3 linked regions of the Neurospora crassa OR74A genome follow. The protein of the gene in region 3 interacts with the protein of the main gene of each other region in a pairwise test. Links are inferred from orthologs where the notes say so. Each region holds a gene or a part of one and is shown on either strand. Other genes may lie near its edges.

Region 1 (5,009 bases), on a different chromosome or scaffold from region 3:
CAGAGGCAGCGGCAGCAGGACCAGTAGCGCAAGGACTCAGTGGTCCGGCGGTGCTGGAGACGGAAGAGTTCTGGGAGGATCTGAAGGGGTATTTGCAGCAACGGATAAGGGACGAGAAGACGGCGGAGGAGGTGGTCGGTAGGTTTAGGGGGGCTTGGAGTGGGAAGTAAGTAGTAGTTGTAGTAGTAGATCCTTTGGGTTGGTTACAGTCAGTCTGCCACGGCATCAGTATTAATAAGTTCGAGGGAGAAGAGACGTGAAATGACGAGAAGCCGTGGATAATTCAAGAGGAGTGATGAATGGCTCGAAGGATGTCCTAGGAGTGCTGGTGAGGTAGGACGCTGTAAAGTGAATTGTTGAATTGCTGTCGAGGATTGGTTAGGATTACTAGCAAATAATTACTCTTTTACCGACACTGATGAAAGGAGTGTTTTGAAGGGCCGTGAAGTGATGAAGGAGAGGTGGTCAAGATGTGAGTGGAAATTGAAGTGATAATTGTGATAACATGATGAAGTGGGTAATGAGTGAGGTGACTAATCCGATGTTCAAGCAATAAGGCTATCCACTGTAACTGAAGAGAGCTAAAGTTTCTTACAAGAGCCAACCGATGTGCGCTCCTGGGGCATGAACAGCTACAAAGTACATCTTCTACTTTGCAAACATTGGTGGTTATGGCGATGTAGTGGACACATATATGGGTATGTACAGATCAACATGTTGACGAGGTCTCACCCTGTCTTCAGATCTGCTAAGCATACATAGTAGATCGATCGGTCTATCCGCGATAGAATATACGGGGAGGAACACGTTTTTCACTCTGACGTGGGCGGGCTCTCCTAAGGTGCAACAACACAAACGAAGAATGCTGTCGACAATGTTGCAGAGCTAGACCGGGAACCGTAAGTTGGGTATCCCTTTTCTCATGCATAGACTTTACCTTGATAGCGTACCTGACATCGACATTGAAAAATGAACTCCTCGCAAGTGTAAACAGAATAGAATATCTGAAATTTCCAAACCAAAGCGGATAGTAATATGAAAAATTGAGTTGAGTAAGTGGAGGAGAGGTGGTGGTAGTCTGGATGTGGTAAATGGTATTTGGCAAGTACAAAATAAGTAGCGTGTGGTTTATATTGTCATTACAACAACGCCGACAGCGACAGCAACATAAGGGACACCATCTTTCGACTATGTTCGCAACGCGCAACAACATCAACAACAACAACTCATCTCTCTTCTCTTCTCTTCTCTCTCTGTTCTTAATACGATTATGGAGAAATCTATGCGGCAGTACCCTTGCTCACGGTCTTGATAATCTGTTCGTACTCGATGTCGTCCTGCTCGTTGGCCTGGAGCTCGACAGCGATACCGCTGAGAGAGCGCTTGAGGGCCTCCTTGGAAGAGGCGTAGACCATCTTGGACTGTTTTATTTTGGGGAGAGTCAGTTAGTTCGACTTGTTCGCTTCGGGATATATATATTTGAAAAAGAGTCGGGAGCAAACAAAAAAGGGAACGCACCTTGATGCCAGCATCATCGGGGGACCAGGCGATAAAGGTCACCTTGTTGCGGGAACCCTCGCCAGACGCAAGCTTGTACTCGAAATCGTAGACGGCATATCGGGGACCCTTGCTGATGGCGCCCTGTAACGGTTGTGATTCATTAGCGATCGGCGCTCTCCCGAAGATAATCATGTTCCTCCGTTCGATCAAGTCCACAGAACATGCCACGACAGGGGGTTGACATGTCTTGGCAGTCCCCTGTGTCTAACCGCCTTTTTGTGAAAGAACCCCTCAATTCCAAGACCCCTCCTCCCGTCCTCCCCCCCTTTTTTCCCCTTCCAGGTAGGAGAATAAACAAGACAAGTATTCGCCCGCAATAGAAAGGGACTATAAGAGTGAGGATGGGCGGGGAGGAGGTGATGGTGATATCGGGGGTCCGTAAAGTTCTCTTTCGCATTCTGGGCTGGATTGGGCTGGGAGTTGGTTGCGACACTGGCAGCAACCAGTCTCTAGGGAAAGAAAGGACCTACAGAAGCGCTCTTAGTCTGGGCGTTGACGAGCTTCTCGCGGAACTCGTCGTAGTTCTCGGTGGCGCCCTCGCTGGTGCTCTCAATGACAATCTCCTTGAAGTCGTCCGAAAGCTTGTAGATGATGTACCTGAGCTGACGGGACATCAGCTTGTCGAAAGCCCTCCGGCACTCGGGGTCGACCTGAACTCTGTAGAGTGACGCAAGCAGAGTACGTTAGCTATTCTGAGTTCTTCCATGTATTGCGTGTTGTCGATGCTGTTGTTGTTGCTGTCTTTTGCGGGTCCCGCTCCCCATGTCCCAGCGCGCTAGCTACCGGCCGCCAGATGCTACTCTGTCGCTGCTGCGTGATATAGGATGGAGGGATCTCGAGATAATGGGCTGGTTGCATCGCGGCTACGGACGGGCAACGGGCGGGCAAGGCGGCGATAGGGTAGCGTCAAGTTATTGCGGTTCCTGAATCCATCGGTGAGGATGATCCAGGGGCAGGCAAGCAAAATGGCGGGGAGGGGGGTAAGATGTAGCAAGTTCATGGAGGACTAACCCAGATTGAGACTGCGACAAGGCAAAGGAGTCAGCGACATGTTTCACAAGCAAGGTGCGGGGGGCGGCGCGCGTTAGGAAAGGGGGGGCAGGAGAGAATGATTTACCATGATGTCAAGTTGTGATGTGGTGGTTTTGTGAAAGTGTTCTTGTCAAAAAGTCGACGACGATGGGTGAACCGATCGCGAGAATGGGGGGGGCGAGCGTTATATGTGGAGAGGGGAGCCGAAAGCTGGATGGCGCGGGAAGGTTGTCAGTCAGTCGGGTCGGGTCAGCACAACAGGGACGGACAGTAGAAAAGGCAGTCGGGGGGCGGAGCGAGGCGAGGGGTAGCAACATGGAAATGGAACTCGAACTGGAAAAGGCGGCGGCAAGGGGACTGGAACTGTAAACTGGAGCACACGGCGGCAAGGCTACAACTCGGTCAAGCTAAAACCTCGCTGGCGAATATACGTACGTACAATTAGGTAGAAAGAGTGCTATGATGGGATGGTTCCGTTGTATGTAAAAGGTAGAGAGCCGGGAGTTGTCAACACGAGGAAGCAAGGACGGGGACGGGGGACGGAGACCGGGAAGAGAGCTCTTGGGAAGAGACCTGAACTTGAAGGTTGGGAGCCTGACGCGAAAGGAGCGAGGGGTTCCATTCCCGGGCACCGTCAGCCAGCACTCGGCCAGGCAGAGAGAGGCCAGGGCGCCGACGGATGCCACCATTCGTTGACCACACAACCACCTCTATTCTAAGCACCGGCCACTGGGCAGTGGATGGGCACCTCACTGCCAATCTGACCCTCTAATCTGCTCCAACACAACACCACAGCTCCAACATCAGCCCCAGTCCCCCCCTTCGCAAAGCAGGGCAGCTGCTGGCCAGTGAACAGCATTGTGGACTCCTCCGTCCCGTCCGTCACTTTGGGTGTGGGCTCCCAACAGGCGGACGGAGAGGGACGGTGCAGAGTGGATCCCGCTCGACGTCGATACCAGTGGTACGTACCCTCAAAGTGAACGACGCCGGCGTGATACCTAGTAGTGTAGTTCCAATGCCTGCTTACCTACCATCCATAGAGAGTGAAAGGGAGGGCTGCCATTGTGCGTTCATCAGCCATATAGTAAACTTGGCTCTTCTGTCACAGCGAGGTGATTTGCGTCTTTCACGAGCCCGCAAAAGCTGTGATGAACTGATGATACCGAACAGAGCAGGGGTTGGCCGGCGTGAACGACGAACAACACGGGAAGCTCTCGATGAGATTACGTTTCACCACCAGGGAAATGAGTACGTCGTCTTTTATGTACACTGGCTCTCGACAGTCACCTCCCTCAACGCGCGTTTATCATTCTCGGTAATCGAAAGGATTTGTAGCCGCCAGGCAACAGTGGGCAGTTACCTGTTGGATCTCGAAATTACAGAAGTGAAAACGGTAGAGGTAATGAAACTGGATGGAGGCTGGATGGAGGCTGGATGAAGAGGTTGAGGTGGATGTCGATGAAGGGGGGAGGGGCCACCGCCTGGAAGGAATCCTTATGAGATGGTGGGGTTGCTTGTTGTTCCGTCGACAGTCAGCTCCGTCGTCAACAGCCTAACTGCCCTGAAGCTGAGTGCTGTCTCCATGTCGACGGGAGTTCGTTGTCGTCTGCGAAACGAAAGCAGACGGTTGGCCATGTGGCTTGCACACCGAGTTGACAGCTCTGAGCCTCTGCAGCGACGGGGAGACTGCCACCTGGTAAAAGAGTCCCACTACACTTAAAACATGTTTACTTGGCGCCGTTTCAGTGTTGCACCATGCAATTTCTGTTCCACATTACCTTGAATTCGTCAACCTCTGTCAACCGGGCACCACCAAACAAATGATTGGCCCAAGCTCCCATCACATCGACGTTCATCCAATTCACAAATGCGTTTCCAAGTTCTGACAACCAACCCATCTTGATATCTCACAGCCACCATGGCAACGCAAGCTTCTCACGGACTTTTAGGCTTCAATATCAGCAAATGTCCGCATGCCAGACAATTGAGTATCAAAAGATATGCCTTCCTAGTAATACATCAGCTTCGCTGAACACTATCAACAGCTGCCTAAAGGTGAATGCGTAATATTCCAAGAAATGGTACGCACCTCCAAAACTATGGTTGCACAGCTTTCGGATTATTCAAGGAGACATCAGTAGCAGTATTGTACAGTTTCATTCATTCTCATGATTTGCTCTACTCTAACCCTCCTCTGTGGTCCGTAGATTATAGTACAAGGAGCATCATCATCATCCAAACAATGCCCGCCGGAATATGCTAGTAAGAACACACGAAGAGAAAAGGTAGAGAGGAGAGAAAGTTACATGACACACATTTTTTTTACAGTCCGTGATAACACCAAGCCCGATGCCCCCCAAACCCATGTTGTCGCCATAAATCAAAGGTAAAAATAAAGAAAAAGACACATTTTTCAT
Region 2 (4,275 bases), on a different chromosome or scaffold from region 3:
AAGGCTGAGAAGCGCGGAGGAAACAATGCGGATGGCGGTAGACACTAGACAGTAAGAATACCTACCCATTGTGTCAGCGAAAAGCCATCTGTGGTTTCTGCCACTGGTTTGCAATCCTGGCCATGTTTGATCATAAGGAAACGGCTGCTTGTTACTCGGTTCCTGAAGCGGTGAGGATCGCTTAGTTGGATTCGGTAGGTATGGCCGCCTCCCCTTCAAGTCAATAAGACATTACGGTGGATCCGATACCTTGACGGCTAGCAATTCCCCTTTTCTCCTTGGCTTGCACGTATCTCACGACCAACGAAAGGGCAGCTGAAGGTGCTCAGAAATACAGAACGCTGTTTGAATTTTGATGATCTCTTCATCCACGATAACCTCGAATTTCCCAGTGGTGACTAAATCTTGCTGCTAAAAGTGTAGTAAATAGAGAAAGGGTGTTGGCAAGATCAAGAAGCCCGCATACTTGACCGCGCCTATCCCACGCATTCGCAGCCGTCGCCGCCCACCCAGAAAACAGAAAAAAAAGGCCATTATTTATGTCTTCTAGTAGAGAAAAGAGACGCCAGCCCCCTTCTGACCACGCTCGCTACTTTTTGTATAAGAGAGACCTGTGCAGAATACACGCGCAATGCAGACATGCTACTTGACGCAGATAGGGGTGTTATGTCCCCAGTTGGCGCTGGCTCGTGACAGTCGTGGATTTGTCCATTTATTGAACTACATACATGGTGTAAGCCGACGACGCTCCGCTTCCAACTGCAACAACCACCTCTCAAGGGCACCCACTTTAGAAGCACTTGCGGTGCACGATCGAGGGACCGCTCTCGTCGTACTCCTGCTTGGAGATCCACATCTGCTGGAAGGTCGAGAGCGAGGCGAGAATGGAACCACCGATCCAGACGGAGTACTTGCGCTCGGGAGGAGCAATGATCTTGACCTTCATGGAAGAAGGAGCAAGAGCAGTGATCTCCTTCTGCATACGGTCGGAGAGACCAGGGTACATGGTGGTACCACCAGACTAGTGACGATTCTGTTAGCGGACCTAGCCTATACTGCCATCTCCACAGCGAACGGGGACTTACCATGACAATGTTGCCATAGAGATCCTTCCTGACGTCGACATCGCACTTCATGATGGAGTTGAAAGTGGTGACGTGGATGCCGCCAGATTCGAGACCAAGGACGGAAGGCTGGAAGAGAGCCTCAGGGGCACGGAAACGCTCGTTGCCGATGGTGATGACCTGACCGTCGGGAAGCTCGTAGGACTTCTCGAGAGAAGAGCTCTGGGCAGCGGTCTGAATCTCCTGCTCGAAGTCGAGAGCGACGTAGCAGAGCTTCTCCTTGATGTCACGAACGATTTCGCGCTCGGCGGTGGTGGAGAAGGTGTAACCACGCTCAGCGAGAATCTTCATGAGGTAGTCGGTAAGATCACGGCCAGCCATGTCAACACGGGCAATGGCGTGGGGAAGGGCGAAACCCTCGTAGATGGGGACGACGTGAGTGACACCGTCACCGGAGTCGAGGACGATACCGGTGGTACGACCGGAGGCGTAGAGAGAAAGGACGGCCTGGATGGAGACGTAGAAGGCGGGGGCGTTGAAAGTCTCGAAAACGATCTGTGTCATCTTCTCACGGTTGGACTTGGGGTTGATGGGAGCCTCGGTAAGAAGGACGGGGTGCTCCTCGGGGGCGACACGGAGCTCGTTGTAGAAGGTGTGATGCCAAATCTTCTCCATGTCGTCCCAGTTGGTAACGACACCGTGCTCGATGGGGTACCTGAGAGTAAGGATACCACGCTTGGACTGAGCCTCATCACCGACATACGAGTCCTTCTGGCCCATACCGATCATGATACTGGCATGTTGTCAGTTTTTTCTGAAAGTCTTGGAGTGTTGCGCGCACGGGACGCGGGGGGGAAAGTGGCATGCATACCCATGATGACGGGGACGACCGACGATGGAAGCTATCGCGACATGTTAGCATGGCTGGGACGTTGGGTCTTGGCGGGGAGGCAAGTAGCTCTGCTGACACGTTGCCCGTCTCAAGCAAGAGCACCTCGCGGGAATAGTGGGAACACTTACGGAAAACAGCTCTGGGGGCGTCATCACCGGCGAAACCGGCCTTGCACATACCCGAACTGGGCGGTTGTTAGCTACTGTCCATCGTCATTGTTCACCATGTAGAACGGGCTATGGGGGGGCCGCGAGGCGTCGATTGCGGGAGGAATATGACGCTTCTCCTAGGAGTCGGTGAGGCGCAGGCGAAAAGGAGGGGAAAGCTTACCCATTGTCGATGACGAGGGCGGCAACTTCTTCTGTTGGCGGGAACGCATGAATCAGCTTGTGCCCATGATAACCAGTAGAGGGAGATGGCGATGGTAGAAGTCCGATCCGCCGGCGACCAGCTCGCCAGCGCGGGCAGACTGGGCAGGAATGTGGACATGTTGTTACGTACCCTCCATTGTGATAGATTAGGTGGTGACGAAAAGTGTCGGATTAAGCAAAAGGTACAGAAGAAGAGTTATTAAATACGCTCGACGATTCCCGGATCGATGGAGCGATGATGCTTTGGCTGAGAGAGGTGTTGCCGAAGGACGTAGAGACGTTGTTTGGGCAAAAATTTGGATGTTGTTCGGTAGGCGGAAGAGTTGGAAAAGGGGAGGTGAATTTAAGGTCAGCTTTGGGAGTACGAGGCGGCGGGTGGATTGAGGGGGGTAAAGGTAGGGGAGGTAAGGGGATGGGATTGCTGTGGTGCCAGGTGCGAGGGAACGGATGGCGGACTGGGGGGGGGAGGGGAGGGGACGGTTGATTCCATTGGGGACGGGACTGGGCCGGGACTGTCTGCACTGGGCATTGCTGGCTGCTAGGTCCAGTTGGTTGGACTGGGCCTGGTCACCTCACGGCGTGGTTGTGGGACTTGGCGGCGGAGGAGGAGGAGGAGGAGGAAGGAAAGGCGGGCAAGGACGACACCGATGTCACTGAGTGGTACTGACAGTGAGTGCCCGGCCGACTTCCAGGTCCCAACAAGCATTCATTTCATCCTCGCCGGGCTGCTGCGCTGCCTGCACTCCATGTTGCCCGGTTCACGACGGGATGGATCACCACAGTAGACTACAAGTACAAACCTAGAGGTAACTGCGCTGCCTTCTTCCCAGGCCGTCCCCTCTCCCTCGCTGTTCGCTTTCCACACCCCTACTCTAAATCATCAAATCACTGGCCGCACCGCCCCCTTGCCCTCTGGCATCTTCGTGGACAAGTTGTCAAGTCGCAGTATCATGCCTGATTCGAGGTGGCTCAAGGTGGATTCCTGAGTGGCCTGCGATCCGTCTGGAAAGTGGGTAGGAGACACCGCCTAATTTTGGGAGGGCAAAGGGGATCTTCCTGCCGCCAACACACTTTGGGAGGCTTCCGCACCTCGGAGGCGACGTCTAGGTTGACATCAATGCCCGTCTGGCAACTGGCAGCCCGTTCAAGATCCCCTTTGATTTCAGTCTACCTAACTACATTGGATACCTACACGACCTGACTTGTATACTATGTAAAAGGATATCATATCGCAGCACGGCCGGGGTCGTCACCGCTGCGTGCCGTTCGACGGGTGCAGCTAGACAGACGGTTCAGTTGTACGTAGCGTAGGTAGTACCTAGTGAGCACGGTGGGAGCGTGGTGCGTGGCTGGGTCCGCCCCCGACGTTGTGTCAGCGTTCAGTCTTCTTCAACCTAATGTCCCTCCCCTGCGTCGTTGCCGTCGTACCTGGTCGCTGTCCCTTGTCGTACCCCGTTCATTACTTGTTTATTACTCCTCCTGGAGAACCGCGATTGCAATTCCAGAAGATCCAATGTCTTCTTTACCGTCTCTTCTGTTGGAGCCTGGCTGATCACGATCTCTTGGAGCTTGTCCGGATCGCAATTCCCATGGCCCCGGGGCCCGAGTGTCTTGAAGGCTCCATGGCCGCCCCGGTCCGGGATCCGACGGAGATAGATATGTAGCCTACGGTATGCACCACTTGGGTCCATACGGTACGGGGACCTCCAGCAGCGGTGTCATTTCCAAGGAAACGCCATCTCATTGGGGATGAGAACGAGGTATTGCCACAGTCCAACACCACCACCACAACCACCACCACCCACTTATTGGCGTCTGCTTCATCCCACCATCCACACAACCTTCACAGCCTGGAATTGGATTTTTTTGTGTTTCGCTGCTCACGTTGGACCAAGTTTGTAGCTGACGTATGCCCCATTAGGTATCCGGGAACTCTGCATTCCAAACA
Region 3 (5,301 bases):
AGACTTTATGTTCTGTGATTTCTTGACAAAAACAGGGCAAAGACTTTCTATGTAGACGTTTGTCAAGAATGGAAATGTTTGAGATACAACAGAAGCCTGCTTTCTTGCCACTTGATTACCACCTCGATGCTCGACACTGCAGTGCAGTATTGTGCAAAAAGCTGAGATACCATGTAGGTATACGTGGGCGAATATCTAATTGCACGTTAAGAGCAAAGAAAATACCCCTTTGTTCGAGATTCAGAAGCAGACAGTTCCAAATTTTCATCAATCCGGTGTCGCAGAGAACGGCAACAATCGAGGCTCATCCACCAACTGTCAGTCTTCTAGCACTAGAGAATTCGCAGTCAACTGACGTTGATAGTTCCGTCCCCGGCCGTTTCAACTACCTATTCTAAACTGCCTGGTTGCACATCGATTTTACGTTTTGCCAAAAATCTGCCTGCTGAATGACAACCTGCAGCAAATGCACGTACAGTTCTCTGAAGCCCTGAACCCTTGATCGAATTATCGGTACGGCACAATCTCTACTTTGGCGTGCGCAAAGCAGATTATTTGAAGATATGACGAGACGTCTGAGTTTGCCATTGCATCTCCACCTCGATGCGCTCTGTCACTTCAAGGACAGTATCTTCATTTTCGAAGGGATGGAATGTCCCTCGGCCATCCGCATACTTGTTTCTCACCAAGATATATCCAGAACACAAGTTGATCGAAAAAAAAAAAAAAAGAAGAAGAAAATATTAATAAATAAAAAATAAGAAAAGAAAAAGAGGACATACAACACCTGGGATTCGCTGGTCGTCACCGACCCAGCTACTAGTCAGGCGATTGGTAGTTTATCTACGGGAGAGCGGACGGGATCCCGAGTTTTTTACCATCTATGGTCGTATGTGATGATACTGCTTTGGAGTGGGCATTATGAAGCACAAAGAAAACACTATTAGTAGAGAGTTTTGAGTTTGAAATCGTTCGCCATCCACGGAGACCCCTATCCACGAGAGGTTATCATCATACGAATAGCTACAGCCATGCCATGTAAGCACATATCTCTAATTTCATTGCCATTAAACTTGCTCGCCTGCTCAAATCCATCAGTCATAACCAAGGCAGTCCTTTATGTCAAAGGGTCAAGCATAGTTTGGTTGCCTTGACAATCCCCTCCATATCTCGTCGGTCAGTCCCCATACCTGCGCCAGCGCCTCATGGCAACCCCGAAACCTTCCAGACCTTAACCGCCCCATCCACACCCGTGCTAACCACTGTACCTTCCTCCATCCACGCCACCCCGTTCACGCCGTCCTTGTGCGCGTTTGGCGCGCTCGTCCTGCTCCCTGGCTTCGCCAAGCTCCAAACACAAACATTCGTGTCTAGGCCGCCGCTGACGGCGTGCGTGCCGGCCTCGTTCCACGCGATGCTTAGCACGCGCGCCGTGTGGGCCGACCACCGGTCGGTTTCCACTTCCCACGAGCCAGAGCCGCTGGTGCGGTAAACGACGATCTTGCCCGTCGAGTTGCCGGCCGCCAGGAACTTGCCGTCGCGAGAGAATGACAGGGTGGAGATTTGGGCGGAGGAGTTGGTAAGAACGGCGACGGGCTGGGAGGAGAGAGTGCCGTCAGAGCTGGAGAGTGAGTGGATGCGGACTGTGTTGCCGTCGCCGCCTACGGCAATCACAGAGCCGTCCGTGGGGGAGGCGGCGATGGCAGTGGAGGTGAAGGTGGTCGGGAGCTCGGAGATGAAGTCGGGGCCCTGGTAGACTTGGATGCCGGTGTGGGCGGCCACGACGACGAACTTGCCGTCGCTGGTGGTGGCGATGCCCTTGGGCTGGGCGGAAAGCTTGGTGGATAAGCCGGTGAAGGTGTTGGCAGACACGTCGACGGAGCGCAGAGTGTCGTCCCAGCCGACGCTGTAGACGGTGCCGCCTGAGGGGGAGAGGGCGAACTGGGTCACTTGGTTGGAGTGCGACTGGCCGTCGACAACGGTTCCCGTGCCCGCCGCGAGGTCCCAGCTCAGGACGCGGCCCTCAAAGCTACCCGTCAGAAGAGCCTGACCGTCGGGGCTGGCGCCAAGGGCGGTGATGTTCTTATTGTGGCCTTGAACAACGCGGATCGGTTTGGGATTGCCCGGAACCAGGTAGCTGAGGTCCCCATTGAGATTGAGGCTGATAATCAGCCCGTCGGTACGGCCATGCGGCCAGACTACGCCAACTTGCTGGTCCGGGATGCTGACGCTGCCCTCAGGCCCGAATCGCCAGGTTTCGGTGTTCTTGCCCGACTCGGCATCCCATACGCGAACAGTTTGGTCGGCGCTGGAGGTGACGAAATGCTTCGAGTCGGAAGCCCAGCTGATGCCATAGATACCGCCCGTGTGGACACCCTCGCCGATCGTCTTGGTTGGTGCGCCCGTCTTTCCATCGTACAGCTGGATCTTCCTGTCGGCACCGACCGTGACCAATGTTGCACCGTCTGGGCTGAATGCCGTGCCGGTAACGAATCCCTTGTGCTCCGACGCCTTATCGGCGAACTTGAAGGGTGCGCCGTGGAGGAAACACATGGACCCATCGTCCGACACCGTAGCTGCACGCAATGGCCGCTGCTGCCTTATGCTGACGGCATTGACAACCTTGCTGTGGCCCGTGACCTCACCAACACTGTTGCCGCTGTCAGCGGTGAAAGCATGGCCAAATCGCTCGCGGCCATCACCAACGGCAATCACACGCTGCGAGTCGCCGTCCCAGGCAATATCGTTAATGCGGCCGGAAATGATAGAGTATTCGCCCTTGGTGTTCTCAGCACCGACAGCGTCCCAGACGCGCACCTTGCCCGAGACATCACCAGAAGCAACCCAGAAGCCTGATGGCGAGAAGCGGGCAACGGTGGTAGTGGTTGTATGGCCAGTATACTGGAGGGACTTGGATGGCTCGTCGATGGTGCGAACGAAGATGGATTTGCCGGACTGCGGGGTTTCAAGGATGTGTCTTGGTAAGCTCGAATGTACTTTGGCTGGCGATGGTATTGCTGGCGGTGAAGAAGACTTACAGCGTAGACTATGCGCTCGCCCTTGGGATCGCAAGAGAGCTGGGTGGCCTGACCGCGGGTCGTGGCGGGCGCAGCGGCCAAGATCTTGTCGATTTCGATGGGCATATCGTTCTCCTTGACTCTTTTGTCTGTTGCTTCGTAGATAGCTTGGGGACGCGAGAGTAAGTGATCGGCGAGTTGGCGTTTGTTTATTATACACAGTAGGGGGCTAAGGTATCAACCCAGCTGGGGGGAGCTCGTAACAAGGGGGAGCTGTTCCAAGGTGTCAGATCGGTGTCAGCTAGATGGAGCCCATTGGAGCCTGGACGATGATGCAGTGGGACGCGCGGCGGAGAACCTACCTACAGAGGTACATGGACAGTGGGGTTGGCGTTGCGGGGTAGCGTTGCCGCCAAAGCAGCAGTACACTGCAGCGAGCAAGCAGGAACAGAATGGACAGTCGGGTGCCTGGCGTCGGGTTCCCGTCGGTCTGAATAGATCATGTCTCTGGCTGGAGGATGACGACTAGAATCATACTCAGTCCCATCCTTATACATATTGTTCAGATATAATCATTAGCTGACAAAACACATTGTTTTGTACGCCATGTCCGTGTAGTCACTTTACATACCTGCTTTAAAGTGCGGGCTCGATCTTGGCTTCGCCAAATAAGGTTGTATTGCGCCAAGGCTAACACCCACGAGTAGAAAAAAGGGGTGTTTGTTGACAAGCGTCGCTATAGAAACACACTTTCTTCCAACAGTTGTCTACATACTTTAAAAGACCACGGGTTTTTCCGGTGTCTCGACAGCTCATAGCATCGTCTCGTCAAGTGACTCTCCTGAATAATGACGTTCCTTACCATCGACCAGAGTTTGGGTCACCTTAAGATCTGAATACTTGCAGTTTCATATCATAGACGCTGGATGGGTTCGCTAGGTAATGACTCGATGGCCTGAAGATGGCATCTTCCCACAGGACAACGATGGAAAAGATCTACGTAGTATACTAACATCTAGACAGGAGGGAAAAAAGCAAAAAGAGAATGAGATGTTGACATTGCCAGATTCAGTTTGCTATAAAGAAAATCCAAATCCCACGGCAAAGAAGACCAGGACTAACTACTCTTCATGCTTTGCTGGATGGCCCTGGCAGCAATTGCAAAATGTTCAAAAAAAGATGGTTGTGACTCGGATACCGGGAGTCGAACCCGGGGCTGTTGAGAGAGCAGTCACTCCTAAGTAGTGAGAGTCAACGATGTTACCGCTACACCATACCCGATTTGGAATGGTTTCCGATTTTTATCGATGACCTCACAAGATTGACACACTATATAGGCCAGACTGCTGGCTCCAACGTCTATCATGTTCAAGCAACACTCCTTTTTGTCTTGGAAAACCATACACCCTGGCGCATGGGGTCAGAAGGTAGCTCAAGCCCTGGCAAGTATGGACCACCGTCAACGTTGAGACTCGCACACCGTTAGTGATTTAGTCCTGCCCGGCATCTTCACGACATGAAATACCACTCTCGAGGGGCCGGAAGTCACGTTGAAGGAGACGCTCGGTTAAAACTATTTCCAGTAGGATCTCAAGGTGGATTGTTTACGATTCAGAATCTCTTTACCTTACGAATCGCAGAACTCCATGATTCCGGAGAAGGTGTTGCGTAAGGGTATGGAAACTACAGTAAGCCATCGTCTTTCCAGATATGTGGTCAAGTTGCTTTGGCGACAGCTATCAGCCTTCCGGTGCGCAGGCATGCAAAGGGACCGAACATCTGATTTTCATTGAAAAAGAACCGCCATTCAACGGGGAACAGAAGAGCTTGATCCAGCATGTCAATCTGCCGGAGGAGAAGTTTGGAAGAAGAGGATAAGGGACAAAAAGCTCAACCGCCCAAGTCAAAGTCCGAACTGACCAGCTGCCGGCTTTGAGAATTGTACCACCAGCACCGCGCACCGGGCACTGGTTTTCTAGCCCATCGACGGCTTGACCACGGAGAGAACCTGCTTAAACCCTCTGAATCCCAATTGTATGTACCCCGAGGGGGATTCGAATTGACTGGTCATATTTGCCAGCCGCACCAGCTCCAGTTAACCCCGTTGAGTCTTAGGATATGTTCGCTCTATATCTAAGATAGCGCCGGCCATCTTGCCAGAGGCGTTCCGAAGTTGAAGATGTTCTGGTACTGAATGGCTGGAGATAGGCAACGTGAAGACAATGCCTGCCCTAACTGGTATCGCGGTTTCTGCTGCGCTCGCTGTTACAACGAGACGCACCCA

What was found.
Region 1: the proteins of NCU03944 (region 3) and NCU01587 interact in a two-hybrid assay, tested with the Saccharomyces cerevisiae proteins (2 studies listed by BioGRID). The link is inferred for Neurospora crassa OR74A from reciprocal best matches to the Saccharomyces cerevisiae genes AIP1 and COF1.
Region 2: the proteins of NCU03944 (region 3) and act interact in binary tests that used the Saccharomyces cerevisiae proteins (3 or more experiments, as listed by UniProt). The link is inferred for Neurospora crassa OR74A from reciprocal best matches to the Saccharomyces cerevisiae genes AIP1 and ACT1.

What each region holds. Positions count from the first base shown.
Region 1 is NC_026502.1:3,014,983-3,019,991, reverse strand, and holds NCU01587 (cofilin, variant), read right to left. Parts: upstream 3,263-5,009; 5' UTR 3,032-3,262; exon of another isoform or gene 2,803-3,031; 5' UTR 2,681-2,802; coding exon 2,678-2,680; intron 2,583-2,677; coding exon 2,572-2,582; intron 2,218-2,571; coding exon 2,031-2,217; intron 1,642-2,030; coding exon 1,519-1,641; intron 1,422-1,518; coding exon 1,281-1,421; 3' UTR 990-1,280; downstream 1-989. Other genes in the region: NCU01585 (hypothetical protein), read left to right, coding at 1-170. UniProt on the Saccharomyces cerevisiae protein: Controls reversibly actin polymerization and depolymerization in a pH-sensitive manner. It has the ability to bind G- and F-actin in a 1:1 ratio of cofilin to actin. Binding to F-actin is regulated by tropomyosin.
Region 2 is NC_026505.1:5,085,295-5,089,569, reverse strand, and holds act (actin, variant), read right to left. Parts: upstream 2,801-4,275; 5' UTR 2,465-2,800; coding exon 2,458-2,464; intron 2,318-2,457; coding exon 2,287-2,317; intron 2,141-2,286; coding exon 2,085-2,140; intron 1,967-2,084; coding exon 1,936-1,966; intron 1,858-1,935; coding exon 1,086-1,857; intron 1,022-1,085; coding exon 791-1,021; 3' UTR 790-790; exon of another isoform or gene 721-789; 3' UTR 323-720; downstream 1-322. Other genes in the region: NCU04174 (hypothetical protein), read left to right, coding at 1-48. UniProt on the Saccharomyces cerevisiae protein: Actins are highly conserved proteins that are involved in various types of cell motility and are ubiquitously expressed in all eukaryotic cells.
Region 3 is NC_026506.1:2,197,299-2,202,599, forward strand, and holds NCU03944 (WD repeat containing protein 2), read right to left. Parts: upstream 3,330-5,301; 5' UTR 3,144-3,329; coding exon 3,039-3,143; intron 2,956-3,038; coding exon 1,204-2,955; 3' UTR 887-1,203; downstream 1-886.